Ovis aries: one gene and its partners. The protein of the gene in region 2 interacts with the protein of the main gene of each other region in a pairwise test. Links are inferred from orthologs where the notes say so. Each region holds a gene or a part of one and is shown on either strand. Other genes may lie near its edges.

Region 1 (3,562 bases), on a different chromosome or scaffold from region 2:
CCACTGCCACTTCCCCAGTCAAAGCCATCATCAGATCTTGCCCAGATTGCTGCCTAGCTCTTTTGCCCCTCTGTAGTTCACTTTCCACCTATCAGCCAAAGTCACCTTTTACAGATGCAAAGCAGACCCTGTCACTTCCTTTGCTGAAACTACCCAGTACTTTCCCATTATATTTAGAATAAAATTCAAACTATATTTCAAGCTTACAAAGCAATACAGTTTGCCCCTTGCTTACCTCTACAGTTTCATTTTGAAATTTTCTCTCATTGGGGCACCTACTCTTGCTACCCTGACTTTCTCCTATTTCTGGAGGATGTCAAGCTGGTTCCAGCATTAGGACCTTTGTTTCTGCTACAGACACTGCTGCTGGGGACCTCCTCTCTGACTCCCTGATCATCAGGAAGGGAGCAGCTCAAGCATCCTCTGCTCCAGGAGGCCCACCAAGTCACCCAGTCTAAAGGAGGCCTCCTTCTGCCCCTTTGAGGTTCTTCCTTATTTCCCTAGTAGCACTTATCTGAAATTATCCTTCTTTGCTTGCTTGCTTATTTATTGCCTTTTTCTTCCAAGTTAGACTCCAGTTTCCTTGCTGGGATGTGGACTTCTCCATCTTGTTCACCACTACATGCCAGTACCTAGAATGGGGCATAGCTCATGAAATGTGCTTGCCAAAGGTTTGGTGAATGGATGCATGATACAGTGTTACAGTGATAGGTACAGTGTTTCCTCCTGGGCTGGCCAGTGTCATTCTCCAGGGAAGCTTAGGCTCTTCCTCCATCAGTCTAGTACTCTATGACCGTTACCAAAAACATTCTCAGGGGTTCTCTGACCCCAAGACAGACCAGACAAGCACATAGATGCATATGATAAATACATATTCCTTCTCGCGTTTGTGTCGCTCCTCTGCTTCCTTCATCATTTCTTGTGCCTGCTCAAGTTTCGCATCCACTAGCTTCTGCTGCAGTTCTCTGTGTTTGAATATTTTGTCGAGGTGCTGAGGAAAAGTAAAGTGCACGTATCAAGTTGAGTTATTATGCTGAAAAACATATGTATAAAAAAGTAATATTGATATAAACATGTGTTCTCTAGGTTTTAAGAGTTAAAAAGAGGAGGAATAAAGGCATTGGTGTCACTTATGGTTTTATACGAAAGTCATAAATTGGTGGAGTCTCCTGCAGTTTGCACTACATGAAAGTGGCTACAAAAGGTGGAGGTGCCAGAGTTCAGCAATGCAACACCAAAAGGTCCCAACAATATTTTTCTAAATATGACAACTATTAGATATGGCACTAGTTTACCCTAGGCTCCAAAGACAGTGATGTGTATCACAAGGGCTATAGCACTATCACTTGGTATTTTGGCTCTTTCTGTGAATATAAAATCCCATTTAACCACAATATTAATTCAGTTTATCGTGGTGAATTCTCTACATGCTTGCCTCAAGGGTGTGGGGAAGCCTTGAGGTAACAGCCTGTGGCCCTTTGTCTGGGACTGAGGCAGTAGCCCCCTGATATCAACTCTGTTGCTCTAGTGGGCAAGCAAGGCTCAGGTTTGCAGATGAATTGATATGCAAATATGCTACTTCCTCCTCCACGCTTTTTGACCTGTTGACTACCTTGGTCAAATGAAGCTTCCAACTCCACCTCAGTGTGGAGAATTTCTTGGTTATTAGGGGTCCCATCGGCAAGAGGACATGTAGAATTTGGGCCTTACCTAGAACCAACCTAGGAATATACAACTGGTCTACCAGGTCATTCCCATACATGATCTCTCTGCAGAGTATGGGCACCTTTTTTTTTTTCTCTCTTTTTAGCTCCTTCTCTTTTGTTTTTTCTTGAACCTCCACTTTGGAGCAGGATTAATCTTTATAACAAGATAAAATGGTAGCATGGAATTATGGCCTACTGCGAGAAGTTTCTTGATTTACCGAACTGCTATCAGTTTTTTTTTTTTTTTCCTTGATTAAAGCTTAGCATGTTGCCAGCAGAGCTCCTTTGACTATGTTATATTACATTTTAAGGCAGAGATTTAAAATTTTAAGTGAGATGGAAAAAGGGATATGACATATCAAAATCCAGAGGGGGGCATCTGGAATCTTCAAAACATATTAAATATTAAAATATAATCTTGGAATAATGAAAGATCTTTATAGTCCCCCAATGTAAACTATTGATAACAAACTTTTTTGGCTTTTGTGATTGTAGATATGTGATTTAATCTTGTAGCTTCTGCTTCCCATCTATAAAATGTGGATAATACATTATTATCTAGTACATAAAATTGTTGAGACAGTTAAATGACATACTGTATGTAAAGTATAATACTTAGCATATTGCTTGGTACAAACTAAGTAAAAATAACAATACCATTATTACTATAATTATTATATATATACTATATAATAATAGTATATATATTATTATTTGTGGGGTATATACAATGCAGACTTTTAATTTTGATGACATGGTAATTCTTAAGAGGGCATGCATGAAGTATTTCTTGGTTCTGTAGAGAGAGTTTAAAAAGGCTGAGAAATAATATTTTTTATTTTCAAGGATAAATCCATTCATGTCCTACCCCTTGTTTATTGCCTCTGCTTCGCAGTGATTCTAGTTTTGAAGAAATCCTCTATGACTTTCAGCCAGGTATTTTGTAACATCATATGTTTTTATTTTGGCTAGTAAAAGAAGTCCAAACCTAAATATTAATCAGTTGAGAAGGCTGGTCATAACTTTGTTATTAACTGACCTCCCAACCTTCACAAACCAGACCCAGACCTATATGGAGTGTTTGTAAGTTGTCTGATGTGGTTCTCACCTCCTCTCTGAGCTCATACTGATCAATGATGCTTTTTAGTTTCTCTGCAAGCTCTGTGTTCTCCTGACAGAGTTTCATGTTTCGCTCACTCTGCTGCTCAATCTGGGCCTGGATATCCGTCAGGGTGTTCTGGAAATGACTTGTGATCTCCTTCCTTTTCTCTTCTTCCTCACGTGCCCGCTGAAGGGTTTCCTCCTGTAGAGAGAATGCACGCTCTTGTTATGCTGGTTTATAAGCCCCTAGGTTTACAGACCTCAGAGTTTGGTTGATGAAGGGAGAATAGTGTGCAGGGTAAGTAGGATATATTTCCTCAGTTCTCTAGAGGTAACATTGCTCAGCCCCAACATAAATGTTTGAGCTGAGGTTTCAACTGTGAATACATGGTCACTCAGAGCAGGTGCAGCAGGGGCCTTGAATTTGATAGCTGGTGATAAATAGACTTGTTTTAAAGACAACGGGTCCCGTGCTGAGTAAATAAACTGCAGTGTTTCCTAACAGACATTCAGCCTGAAGGTTCTATCTCTTGGTTGTGGCCTAGAAAAAAGGATACTCAGTCTTACTGATTGATGGGATAGATCACGTGTTCCCTTAGTTTGGTACAGAAAGAGGAACAGCAGATCTTATGTTCCTGTGTAAAAATGATGGCATATTGATCATGTAATTGTGTTCCTCAAGTTTCCTATAAATGATTACAATATATATTTTTTCTTATTAAAAATAAATGTCCTCCAAAAGCTTGAAAGGAAAA
Region 2 (4,062 bases):
GCACATGAAAGCCAAGTAAAGACTGAGAAACTGTCCCAGACCTGAGGCTAAAGATACATCGTAACTAAACACCATGCATCATTCTTGGCTCTGTTTGTTATACACTATATAATAGGGACAACCGGCAAAATTCAAATTACATCAAAGGATTAGATGGCATTAATGTACCTATATTAATTTTCTGATCTTGATCACTGTATTGTAGTTATGTAAAGAATACCTTTTTTTTTTTTTACAGGAAATAAATACTCAAGACTTCCAGGTTAATGGGTCATGATACCTGCACTCAAATAACTCAGGAAAAAGAAAAGTTGTTACTTGTAACTTTTCTGTAAGTTTGAAAGGGTTCAAGAAAATTTTTAAAGATACATATTAGTAGTTCTTATTGCATCAACAACGGCAGTCTTTACAATGCTATTCATCCCATATCTTACATAATTTAACCCCAACTAGTCTTAGTTGGCTACCTCATGCGAAGAGTTGACTCGTTGGAAAAGACTCTGATGCTGGGAGGGATTGGGGGCAGGAGGAGAAGGGGACGACAGAGGAGGAGATGGCTGGATGGCATCACCAACTTGATGGGCATGAGTTTGAGTGAACTCCGGGAGTTGGTGATGGACAGGGAGGCCTGGCATGCTGCGATTCATGGGGTCGCAAAGAGTTGGACCCTACGGAGTGACTGAACTGAACTGAACTGTGTCTTATTTAGACAACTCCTGGACCAAGTTCCTTAACCACACTGAACAACCTAAGGGTTTCTCTTCTCCCTCATGTTCCTCAATGTCACATCCTCCCTCCCCTGCCAACCTTAATTTCCACTTAATGAAATCCTACTGTTCTTCAATGTCCATCCCAAATTCCACCCCCAAGTTCTTGAAGTCTTTTATGATTCCCCCAAATGATGTTACCTCTTCCCCATTACCTCTTTTGGGGAGCTTTATTTGTCTGCTGCTGCTGCTGCTGCTAGGTCGCTTCAGTCATGTCCGACTCTGTGCGACCCCATAGATGGCAGCCTACTAGGCTACTTTTGTCATTTTCCATGACAAGATGGTCATGACCTTGAGGCCAGGGCCTACATTCCCTCTTCCCTGTATCCATTCAGAGCACGAGTTCACATACTGAAAACACTTAATGTTTATAGGACTGCCTGGTATCTTGACTCAGGTATTTGCTCAGCCCCGGACACCTGGGGCATGCAGTGTTCTATGAAATGTTCTCATTACATTTCCAGAAAGCAGAAACTGCAACATTCTTTAACTGCTTTTTTAAGTCTATTCTTAATGCTTGTAATAAAAGCTCTCAATAATACATTTAACTCATATAAATGGTCTACTACTTAATATTCCCAGAACTTGTTACAGCATATCTAGTATCTGGATACTTTCCCTCCTTGATGAACGGGATGTATAGTAATAGCTTTCCTTTTATGCACTCAAAAGGTAGGCAAAATAATGGCCCTTTTAAAGAGGTCCACATCCTAACCCCCATAATCTGTGAAAATGTTGGGTTATGCTGCAAAGGAGAACTAAGGTTATAGACTGAATTAAGGTTGCTAATTTACAGCTGACTTTAAAATATAAAGCTCTTCCTGGATTATTGGTGGGGAACAATGTAATCATCAGGGTCCTTCTTCAAAGTGAAAGAGGAAGGGAGAAGGGCAGAATCAGAGTGAGATGTGACAAGGGAAGAATAGTCAGAGAGATGCAATGCTGCTGGTTTTGAGGATGGAGATATGGCACCACTCCTGAGCCAAAGGAGATGAGCAATCGATAGAAGCATAAAAGACGAGAAAACAGGTTCACATCATTAACCTCCAGAAAGGCAGGCAGAGCAGCTAACACCTTGATTTTAACTTAGTGAAGGCCACCCAGACTTATACTGAATTTTGTGTGTGTGTGTGTGTGTGGTAATCTGGACAGGTTGCAGGGCATGGAGGACCTTAGTTCCTCGACCAGGGATCAAACCCATGACCTCTGCAATGGAAACACAAAGTCTAACCACTGGACGGCCAGGGAAATCCCCCATACATAATTTTAAGATAAATTTGTAGCTTTTAAGGTTTTACTGAGTCCATGGTAATTTATTATGGCAGCAAATGAAAAAAAAAAAAAAAAAACCGTACAAATCACCTCCACCTGTTCACCACCTACTTCCCTAAGGCAAATCTTCCCATAGGCATGCCAGGCAGCAAAAACAAAGGAAATGAGGCAAAGGAAGGGGAAAAGGAGGTGGAGATGCGCAGACAGGATTGCTTCCTGTTGTTTTTTAACTTTTGCGTGTCGCATAGATAGGGAAACACCACATTCTGTTTTGGATGTCTCTTTAAATAAAATCCCTGTATGTTCTGAAAAATCAGGCACGACAGCCAAACCCTGCGCCTGCCAGGAGACTAAATCTCCCTAAGGAATCTGTTTTCCTAAGAACTTTCTCCAGAGACACTACAGAAACAGTGGGGAAACACAAACCATTTTAAGTTTCAATTTCCTAAACGAAGCAAAGCAAAGGAGACGGGGTCAGAGGCCGGGGCTGCAGGCAGAAAGCCCCGTGGGCAGGGGGCAGCCGCGCCCCCTCGGCAGCTAGGTGGCCCCCACGACCTCGGCAGCGGGCAGCGCAGGAGGGCGGCGCAGGGAATGGGGTCGCAGAGCCAACGACACCCTACTCTCCGCCAGGCGTTCCCACCAACCCTCAACCCCACCGGAGGTCCCCGGCCCCGCGGAGCCCACAGGGTCGCCACTCACAGCCTCTCCAGCCGGGCCCACTAGGAGCAGGAATGGCAGCGCGGGAAGGGGTCGCCCACTCACGCGCCTCGGCCGGCCGAGCGCCGCGCCCAGGTTCCCGGAAACCTCGCTGGCGGCGCGGGTAGTCGCTGGAACCCTCCGGGCCTGGCTGGGGCTCCCTCGTCCGGAAGCGCCTTCAGCCTTTTTCAAATGGATGGCCCGCGGATCAACAGTTTACTTCCTTTTAAAAAAAGAAAGAGAGAATAACAGAAGAAGAAAACTACCCAAGGATGATTTTGCTTCAGTCTAGTCACTGGTCGAATACCAAACCCGGTTCCCCAATGATTAGTCACTAACAAGTTATACCTATTTTCACTTTCGGTTTTTAAAATGTGTTGGTTTTGTTTTTGTTTGGAGGAAATCTACTCCCAAAGTGTTCCTGAAGTTTCCATAAACACTCATTTTAAGACATGTTTTAAAAACCACTCCTTCGGATGTGTATTCCAGGACGTGTTTTGGGAAAATGGGCAGAAACCAAATAAAGTGGCAGTCTCTCTTCAGACAATAACTCTCACTGTAATCTGTTGGTCACTGCAGCCTTAATCTACAAATCCTCACAGCCAGCACGGAGTCTGCTTTGGTGTGTTTCTTTTGTAACTTCGCAGGAAATTGGCAAAGTGTGGTGTTCAGCTGATTTCTGTGATCCATGTCCCTTGAAACTTTTCTCTGGTATTATTGTGAAGCTTGTAAACAAACGCTTCACTAGGTGTGATCTTTTTCTTTGGAACGGAAAACATCTGGTTTATTTCAAAAATGGCAGTGTTTCTGAATCCTACATAGAGAACCACCCCACAGCTGCACTTACTGTGAATAGGTCAGGGAACAGATGCATGAAATGACTTTTAGACAGAAATTCTAGTTGATAGTGCTGTATAGTCATATGTAAAACTGACATGTTATCTGATAAAAGATTAACCAAAATCAAAGTCCTTTATATCAAGAATGTTGATGGCAATCTAGTTTACGTTGGACTTCCTAACTGAAAAAAATAAAGGTATATAGACATTTGTGCTCATCAACCCAGTCAAAAGAGCAATAAAACGCTACCTGATACAGCTTGAGAATTACTTTTGGTCTCCCCTAGAATTTTATTTTTTATTTTATTTTTGGCTGCACCATGAAGCTTGTGGGATATTAGTTCCCTGACCAGGAACTGAACATGGGACCACAGCAGTGAAAGCACCGAGACCTAACCCCTGAACCACCAGGAAAATCCCACCCCTTAAAATTTTAGAGAACATGAACTCTGGAAATTATTTAGTTCAAACATCATTTCTTCTTTTAC
Region 3 (4,333 bases), about 53 Mb from region 2:
CAGTATAGGAAGGTTCCCTTTGCTCCAGGCTGTGTCTAGCATTTTCTCCTTGGAGGCTTGTTCACGATGACCCTTCTGACTGCTGTCAGGGGCAACCTCACTGGAGTTTTGATTTGCTATTCTGTAATCATTAGGGATGAAGAACTTGTCTTCCTGTGCTTTGGCTGAAAAGAGTATGAGTAAGTGTAAGTTTACTACACAAAGACCATGTCATCCAGTCCAATCACTTCATGGCAAATAGATGGGGAGACAATACAAACAGTGACAGATTTTCTTTTGGGGGGCTCCAAAATCGCTGCAGATGGTGACTGCAACCATGAAATTAAAAGATGCTTGCTCCTTGAAAGAAAAGCTATGACCAGCCTAGACAGCATATTAAAAAGCAGAGATGTTACTTTGCCAACAAAGGTCTGTCTAGTCAAGGCTGTGGTTTTCCCTGTGGTCATGCATGGATGTGAGAGTTGGACTGTGAAGAAAGCTGAGCGCCGAAGAATTGATGCTTTTGAACTGTGGTGTTGGAGAAGACTCTTGACAGTCCCTTGGACTGCAAGGGGTTTCAACCAGTCCATCCTAAAGGAAATCAGTCCTGAATATTCATTGGAAGGACTGATGTTGAAACTGAAACTCCAACACTTTGGCCACCTGATGAACTGAGTCATTTGAAAAGACCCTGATGCTGGGAAAGATTGAAGGCAGGAGGAGAAGGGGACGACAGAGGATGAAATGGTTGGATGGCATCACCGACTCAATGCACATGAGTTTGAGTAAGCTCCATGAGGTGATGATGGACAGGGAAGCCTGGCGTGCTGCAGTCCATGGGGTCACAAAGGGTCAGACACGACTGAGTGACTGAACTGAACTGAAAGTGTAGGTTGGAAACTGGCTTCCTGAATGTGAGCCCCATAGTATTTCTTTATCCTTGACCTCAGTTCAGTTCAGTCGCGAATGAGCTACTGAACTGAATTGAGGATTGATTACTCCCTTTTCTGAGGATTGCGTATATTTCTATCTAGGTTTTCTAGCGTTTGTATGCTTCTCCTCTTTCTTGTTCAAGGTCACAGCACGTTTACACTCGCCCTCTGTGATTGTGCGTGTCCAGCCGGCTCCTCCCTTCCATCTGGTCCCTTCTTTGTGGTCACAGTCACCGCCTCGATCCCAAATGTTATCTCTTCACGGCGAAAGGATGAAAATCGCCAAAATTTACGGCAATCCCACTCGCTGAATAGGGATAACTGCTCAAGTGCAGGCAGGCAGGTCAGGGACCTCCTCTCGTCGTTCCCTTTTTCTCCTGCATTTTCTCTTATGGAATATTTGTAAGAGCAGCGGGCGCAGCAGAGGGCATGCAGGCAGAGCTTTTTCTGCTAGGAACACAAATATTCGACTCCTGCTGTGCTTCCGGAGACATTCTCTTCGCACCTAGGTGGGGACCAATTTCTGCGTCGGACTGTTCCGTCTTTGCTGTTTTCAGCCCGTCGCTTCCGCCCGGAGTTGCTTTAAGTTCCCGCTGTGAGTAGCTACTTCCGCCAGGAGTGCTTAGCGTCTTGGACTTGGAAAGTGGCCCTGGGCGGCCTTGTCCTTCTCTCAGCCTGGCTACCCGAAGCCAGATCTCAAGGTGGAGGCGGCAGCGGCTGGGCCTGTCGCAGAGCGTTCTTTTTGCCCAAGTCCTGGGCCTGAGGTTACTTAGAGGTGCTGGAGAGGCGCCCAGCCTGGCCCAGCCCGGGCCTTCCCCGGGCCAGTGACGGTGGCCAGAGGCCTCGCCGCGCCCACCCCAGCCTGGGGCGGGGCGCGGCCTCCGAGCCCGGGTCCCGCCCCTGCTGCCTGCTGGGCGCGGGATCAGTGCCTCCGGCCCAGGAGCGGTGGAACCGTTTTGCGCCTCTGGGACTCCGCAGTCCCCTGGCTCCGGCCGCTGGAGAACATGGAATTTGCTGAGCTGATCAAGACCCCTCGGGTGGACAATGTGGTGCTGCACCGCCCTTTCTATCCGCCCGTCGAGGGGACCTTGTGTCTGACTGGCCACCACCTGATCCTCTCCTCCCGGCAGGACAACACAGAGGAGCTGTGGCTTCTCCATTCAAACATCGACGCCATCGACAAGCGGTGAGTGCTGGTCCCGTCCATCCCCTGTTCTGCGCGCAACTCAGATGCTTGTCTGCGGAAACCCGTCCTAGCGTTTTCCTTGTGTCCCCTCGCCCAACCAGTCAGCAGAACGACCCTCGCTCTGGCCTAGACTGAGGGTTTGAGTTTTAGAAAGCTGAAACCATCCAGTTGAGATACCGGGTTTCCATTCATTCTGATTGGGTTACCGTATGGCTGTTACTGTGATTATCATTTTTGGTACATAACACTATTTGAATGGATTTGCAACGTTTTCATTTTAAATTTCTTTTCCTTGCACCATCATATTCCTTGAATGTTAACTGCCCATCATAGTTCATGAAGTTGTGAGTGAATGTGATTACAAAGTCTTTACTTGCAACTTTTGAGGAAAACTGAAAGGACTCAGTATATAGTGTCTAAATTCCACAAACCCTTCTCCCCTCTCGGAAATGTTCAGTTCATCATATTTCTCCTTGTTTCTTACCTTCTGGATCATCAACTTAAGACTTCCCATTTTGGAAGATTCAGTTCAGTTCAGTCGCTCAGTCGTGTCCGACTCTTTGCGACCCCATGAATCACAGCATGCCAGGCCTCCCTGTCCATCACCAACTCCCGGAGTTCACTCAAACTCATGGCCATTGAGTCGGTGATGCCATCCAGCCATCTCATCCTCTGTCATCCCCTTCTCCTCCTGCCCCCAGTCCCTCCCAGCATCAGGGTATTTTCCAATGAGTCAACTTTTCACATGAGGTGGCCAAAGTATTGGAGTTTCAGCTTCAACATCAGGCCTTCCAATGAACACCCAGGACTGATCTCCTTTAGGATAGACTCATTGGATCTCCTTGCAGTCCAAGGGACTCTCAGGAGCCTTCTCCAACACCACAGTTCAAGAGCATCAATTCTTCGGCGCTCAGCTTTCTTCACAGTCCAACTCTCACATCCAACATTTCCTGATGAACAACATTTCACAGGAAAAACCATAGCCTTGACTAGACAGACCTTTGTTGGCAAAGCAATGTCTCTGCTTTTTAATATGCTGCCTAGGTTGGTCATAACTTTACTTCCAGGGAGTAAGCGTCTTTTGGAAGATTAGAATGTGTTTTATTTTCTTTACTATCTGTGCTTTTGCAAAGAACAGAATAGGCTCTTAAACAAAGGTATTCATTAATTGACTTTTGTTTGTTTGTTTTTTTTTTTTGCACCCCAGGCTCTCTTTCCAGGGTAGTGTCTCAGGAGGCTAAAAGTTATAGTTCATCTGTAGTCAAAATTACCATTTCCGCAATGGTTTTGTGTACTTTAGCCAGAAGGTGATTTGGTCATCCAACTTAGACTAAAGTATAAATGAATGACAATAGTTTTTTTGGTTAGTTCTCAGAATTTTGGAGAAGGCAATGGCACCCCACTCCAGTTCTCTTGCCTAGAAAGTCTCATGGGCGGAGGAGCCTGGTGGGCTGCAGTCCATGGGGTTGCGAAGAGTCAGAAACGACTGAGCAACTTCACTTTATCACTTTTCACTTTCATGCATTGGAGAAGGCAATGGCAACCCACTCCAGTGTTCTTGCCTGGAGAATCCCAGGGATGGGGGAGCCTGGTGGGCTGCCATCTATGGGGTCGCACAGAGTCGGACACGACTGAAGCGACTTAGCAGCAGCAGCAGCAGCAGCAGAATTTGGAGGTGGAGGAGATTCCCAAAGTGGTTATGCCTTAAAAGAAAATTATTTCTGATAGGAAAAGTTAAACAATATGAGTAAAATGATGATAGATTTATTTTCAAGCAGCAGACTCCTGTTTGACTCCTGAGATCACCTCCTGTGTAAAAGTTTTCAGTGTTCCTTTTTCGCCTTTATGGCGGTGGTGGTTAGTCACTCAGTCAAGTCCGACTCTTACAACCCCGTGGACTGTAGCCCACCAGGCTCTTCTGTCCATGAGATTTCTCAGGCAAGAATACTGGAGTGGATTGCCGTTTCCTTCTCCTGGGATCTTGAAGACCCAGGGATGGAGCCCTCATCTCCTGCATGACAGGCAGGTTCTTTGTAGCCGAGCCCCCAGGGCAGACCCCTTAGTCTGTCGTGTATGGCAGTTCTCGTTCTAGCCCTAATCTACTTTTCCCTGTTCAGTTCTTGCCATTCTCTTTCCTGAACCCATTTGCCCAGTCAGTCAGTCCTCACTTTTCATTTTGGTTCATCCGTGTCCTGCATTCTCTCACGTCTGTATTTTACTGACGCTCTTCCTTCTG
Region 4 (4,156 bases), on a different chromosome or scaffold from region 2:
CTCTGCAGCCCAGATTTCTCTCTGAGGCTTAGACCCATGTGTCCCCACCCCTGCCCCTTCTCTCCTTTCAGGGTCTTTTTCATGCCACTCACTCTCCTTAGAATGCTTTCTCTTCCTCAGCCAGCTCAGCTCATGGGTTTGGCCCTTCATCCTCTGCAAGCCCTCACTGCTGCAGCAAGCTCCAGGTTTCATTTAGCTGCCTCTCCCATATGCTCTTGGTCTTAACTCTTCTGCTTCCTGGCCTCTCTCTCCCAGGAACTTGTCAACTCCTTGAGATCAGAAAACTGTCTGCCGCACTTGAGCCAAGCTCCTACCATAGTGTCTGATGGTACCTAGCATATGTTAGATTTTTCAATAAAGATTAAATCAGTGAGTAAAAAGATGTTTAACACTGTTCTTTGTTGCTGAGAAGTCAAGATAGAGACCAAAAAATATTGGCATCGGGTACAAGGAGGTCATCTATTAACTCTACAGGATCAGTTTCAGCTGAGAGCAATGATATGGAAACAGATTGGAACAAGTGGAAGGTGAAAGAGTAGGAAGAGCATGTGTTTACAAGACCTTGCAAAGATGGGAAATGGGGGCCGTGATTGAGTGGAGTGGGATGAAGTTTTGTGTTTCTGCTTTTTCTGCATGTTGGGAAATACCTAAACATGTCTAAAGTTTCCTAAGAGCTGCCAAGAGGGAAAATTGAGCATGCAGAAGAGAGAGTGGAGTACTGATGACTTGGGGTCTTAGAGGAGGCAGAAGGAGGTAGGATTTGAGCATAGCGAGAGGACCCGAGCATTGTAGGGTGGGAAGAGAAGTGGAGGGCTTTATAGGCAGAAGAACAGCACAGTGGGCAGCAGGGGCTGGGGAGGAAGTGCGTGGTGTATTTGAGAACTGGCCATTAGATGTGGGGTGAAGGAGCTGGACAGCGGTTCAAGTCCAGTGTGCAGGGCCTCGAAAGCCTGGGTCAGAATTTTGGCCCAGTCCCGTAGGCAGTGGAGAGCCCATCTTGGCCTTTCCCATCTTACAGATCATCACCTTGGCCAATATTACGGGGATTGTGATCACCAACAATGTCCAAGGGGATGGGCATTTCTGTGGCTCCTAGATTTCTGGGAGATGTGTAGATGGTTCCATTTGTACCTGCCCCACCCTGCATGTCCCTAGGGCCCAGCGAGTCCAGTCCATTCCCTCCCCTGCTTGTCCCCATCCACAGCGAGGCTTGATTTGACTCCCCAAGTGACCACTTTGCCACTCGGAGCTGGGGACAGGGGCGAGTGATGGCTCCACTGCTCCTCCCAGCGCCCAGATGCCCGTCCAGCCTCCAAGCAAGGACACAGAGGAGATGGAAGCAGAGGGCGACTCAGCTGCCGAGATGAATGGGGAGGAGGAGGAGAGCGAGGAGGAACGGAGCGGCAGCCAGACCGAGTCCGAGGAGGAGAGCTCAGGTGAGCCCCACACGCCCTCGAGCGCCCTGCCTGCCCCCGCAGCCGGCCCTGACTGGCCTCTTGTCCCAGAGATGGACGAGGAGGACTACGAGCGGCGCCGCAGCGAGTGCGTCAGTGAGATGATGGACCTGGAGAAGCAGTTCTCGGAGCTGAAGGAGAAGTGAGCGAGGGGCCCGGGGCTCGGGGCCCGGCTTCCAGGAGGCAGCGGAGGGCCTGGCGCCAGCCAGGGCCGGTGTGAGCAAGGGCCTGACCCGGGGCGCTGGGCACGTGTTTAGCAGATGGGCACACGGGCGCACGGCTGCCTTTCGCCTCCCAGGTTGTTCAGGGAACGACTGAGTCAGCTGCGGGTGCGGCTGGAGGAAGTGGGAGCTGAAAGGGCACCCGAATACACGGAGCCCCTGGGGGGGCTGCAGCGGAGCCTCAAGATTCGCATTCAGGTGGCAGGTCTGTGGCCCGTCCTGTGCCCCGTCCCCTTATGAGAACCCACGGCTCTCTGTCCCCTTCCCCTCTCACCCGTGCCCTGCCTCACCCGCCTTTGTGGGCAGCCAGGGCCCTGGCCAGGCCCGGCCGCCCATCGCCCTCCCTCCGCAGGGATTTACAAGGGCTTCTGTCTGGACGTGATCAGGAACAAGTATGAGTGTGAGCTGCAGGGAGCCAAGCAGCACCTGGAGGTGAATGTGGGTGCGCCGGGTGGGGAGGAGGTGGCCGCCCCGCCCCACCCCGCCCCGCCCAGCTGAGCCGCTGCGCCTCTTGCAGAGTGAGAAGCTGCTGCTGTACGACACGCTGCAGGGCGAGCTGCAGGAGCGGATCCAGAGGCTGGAGGAGGACCGCCAGAGCCTGGACATCAACTCTGGTGAGGCCAGCGGCCAGCCGGCACCCCTGTGCTTCCAGCGCCCGTTCCCTGTCTGGGCCTTGCCTTCCCCGCTTGCATGGGGGTGGGTGTAGGAGGGCCTGCTCCGTGCTCACCGTGGGGACTGACGGAAAGCAGGCGGGGAAGGGCCCAGCCCGGTGCCTGGTGCACAGTGGCAGCTTGGGGGTGCCCTCCCTCCGTGCTGGTCCCAGAATGGAGGCATCATTCTGACACACGTGCCCCTGCCATGGCCACAGTGTGCCCATTCACACAGGGCACTGGGGAGGGAGGGACTAATGATCTCACACCCCCATCCATGAAACAGATGAGGAGACTGAGGTTAGCAGAAGCACAGTGACCTCTTTCCCAGGATTGAACTCAGCTTCCAAGCCCAGGCTTCTCTGCACTGCCCTGGGGAGGTTGATGGGGATGGGCTGGCCTGGCCCACGTGAGGGACACAGGCTTCAGGGGTGGGGCGTCCTGGGAGGACGGCACCCTGATGCTGACTCTGGTCTGGGGCGCAGAGTGGTGGGATGACAAACTGCATGCCAGAGGCAGCTCGAAGACATGGGACTCCCTGCCACCCAACAAGAGGAAGAAGGCGCCTCTCGTTTCCGGTATCCTTCCCCATACAGTGGCCTGAACTGGGCAGGAGGTCAGGGTGGAGGCACATGGGGGACAGAGGCAGACCAGACTCACTTAAGGTCATCTGGCCTCCTGTGGCCGTGTCCAGGCAGATCAGCTGTTGAATTTTCTGCAGGGTCCTCCTGGCCTGTGTGGACCATGGAAAAATAGAAGCATTCATCCAGAGATTTCCCCATAGTTTTCTGAGTGAGGTCTCCTCTGAGGCCCTTCTGGCTTTCTCACAGTGTCTTGGGCATGTCCCAGGCTCTCCCACCCCCATGCCTTTGCTGACTTTACACTCCCCTCTTGGATGCCTTTACCTGTCTGCCTGCTCGGTGCCCATCAATTGTCACCTCCTCTGTGAAGCCTCTCCTGGTTTCCCCGACAATGGCTGTGGCTTCCCTCTCCTCTGCACCCCTTTACCTGAACGGGGGCACCTGCCTCCCTTCTGGACATAGTCACCTCTGCCGCCCCCCAGGTGTGAGCCCCTCTTGTTCAGGGCCTGCTGTGCCGGCCTCCCCCCCTCGCATAGCCCAGCACGGAGTTGAATTGAATTCTCAGGTATACACACCCCTCCATATTTCTGCCGCAGTCAGATTATCAGGAAGTTGACCTCCTGGTGATGGGGATCATGTTCAAGCAGGGAGGGAAGGATCTGGACTGCAGAGGCTTGAGCGGGGGTGGGAGGTGAGGGTGTGGAGACGTCAGCGGGCAGAGTGGCCAGTCCCCAGACGGGCGGGTGAGACCGATGGAGGGTGGTTTTCAGGACAGAAGAGATAGATGACAGTCTGCGTGTAGGTGGGGCCAGTTGAGGGAACAGGGGGCGAGATCCCTGAGTGGGTGGCCTGGGCCTGGGCCTTCTGACCTTGAGGCCTGAGAGGAGGTGAGGAGGGAGCCAAGGGGCTGAACGCCCTCTGTGGACTGGGTGAAACTGAAATAGGCCGCAGCCACGCACTCCACCCTGCTAAGAACCCAGGAGCCACGAGGTCGGAGGTGGAGCCTGAGTGCTGCCCCAGGTGCTCGGCTCCCCAACCCGCCATCCACGGCACCGCCGCCTCTGAGTGCTGGCACCTCCCACCCCCTGGGCTGGGGGCCCGGTCCCATCCCCTGCCCCCTCCCCACGTCTCCTGTTTCCTTGACCCCCATCTCAGGCCCTTACATCGTGTACATGCTGCAGGAGATCGACATCCTGGAGGACTGGACAGCCATCAAAAAGGTGGGTCTAGCGCTGCCTGCCACAGGGTGG

What was found.
Region 1: the proteins of NMI (region 2) and TXLNB interact in binary tests that used the Homo sapiens proteins (3 or more experiments, as listed by UniProt). The two-hybrid records come from large-scale screens. The link is inferred for Ovis aries from reciprocal best matches to the Homo sapiens genes NMI and TXLNB.
Region 3: the proteins of NMI (region 2) and MTMR9 interact in binary tests that used the Homo sapiens proteins (3 or more experiments, as listed by UniProt). The two-hybrid records come from large-scale screens. The link is inferred for Ovis aries from reciprocal best matches to the Homo sapiens genes NMI and MTMR9.
Region 4: the proteins of NMI (region 2) and BRMS1 interact in binary tests that used the Homo sapiens proteins (3 or more experiments, as listed by UniProt). The link is inferred for Ovis aries from reciprocal best matches to the Homo sapiens genes NMI and BRMS1.

What each region holds. Positions count from the first base shown.
Region 1 is NC_056061.1:64,222,577-64,226,138, forward strand, and holds part of TXLNB (beta-taxilin), read right to left. Parts: intron 3,010-3,562; coding exon 2,815-3,009; intron 992-2,814; coding exon 872-991; intron 1-871. UniProt on the Homo sapiens protein: Promotes motor nerve regeneration. May be involved in intracellular vesicle traffic.
Region 2 is NC_056055.1:158,219,155-158,223,216, reverse strand, and holds the start of NMI (N-myc-interactor), read right to left. Parts: upstream 2,838-4,062; 5' UTR 1-2,837. UniProt on the Homo sapiens protein: Acts as a signaling pathway regulator involved in innate immune system response.
Region 3 is NC_056055.1:105,116,138-105,120,470, forward strand, and holds the start of MTMR9 (myotubularin-related protein 9), read left to right. Parts: upstream 1-1,525; 5' UTR 1,526-1,915; coding exon 1,916-2,097; intron 2,098-4,333. UniProt on the Homo sapiens protein: Acts as an adapter for myotubularin-related phosphatases. Increases lipid phosphatase MTMR6 catalytic activity, specifically towards phosphatidylinositol 3,5-bisphosphate and MTMR6 binding affinity for phosphorylated phosphatidylinositols.
Region 4 is NC_056074.1:40,819,803-40,823,958, reverse strand, and holds the start of BRMS1 (breast cancer metastasis-suppressor 1), read left to right. Parts: upstream 1-1,297; coding exon 1,298-1,436; intron 1,437-1,505; coding exon 1,506-1,596; intron 1,597-1,752; coding exon 1,753-1,880; intron 1,881-2,027; coding exon 2,028-2,107; intron 2,108-2,192; coding exon 2,193-2,289; intron 2,290-2,810; coding exon 2,811-2,903; intron 2,904-4,061; coding exon 4,062-4,126; intron 4,127-4,156. UniProt on the Homo sapiens protein: Transcriptional repressor. Down-regulates transcription activation by NF-kappa-B by promoting the deacetylation of RELA at 'Lys-310'. Promotes HDAC1 binding to promoter regions.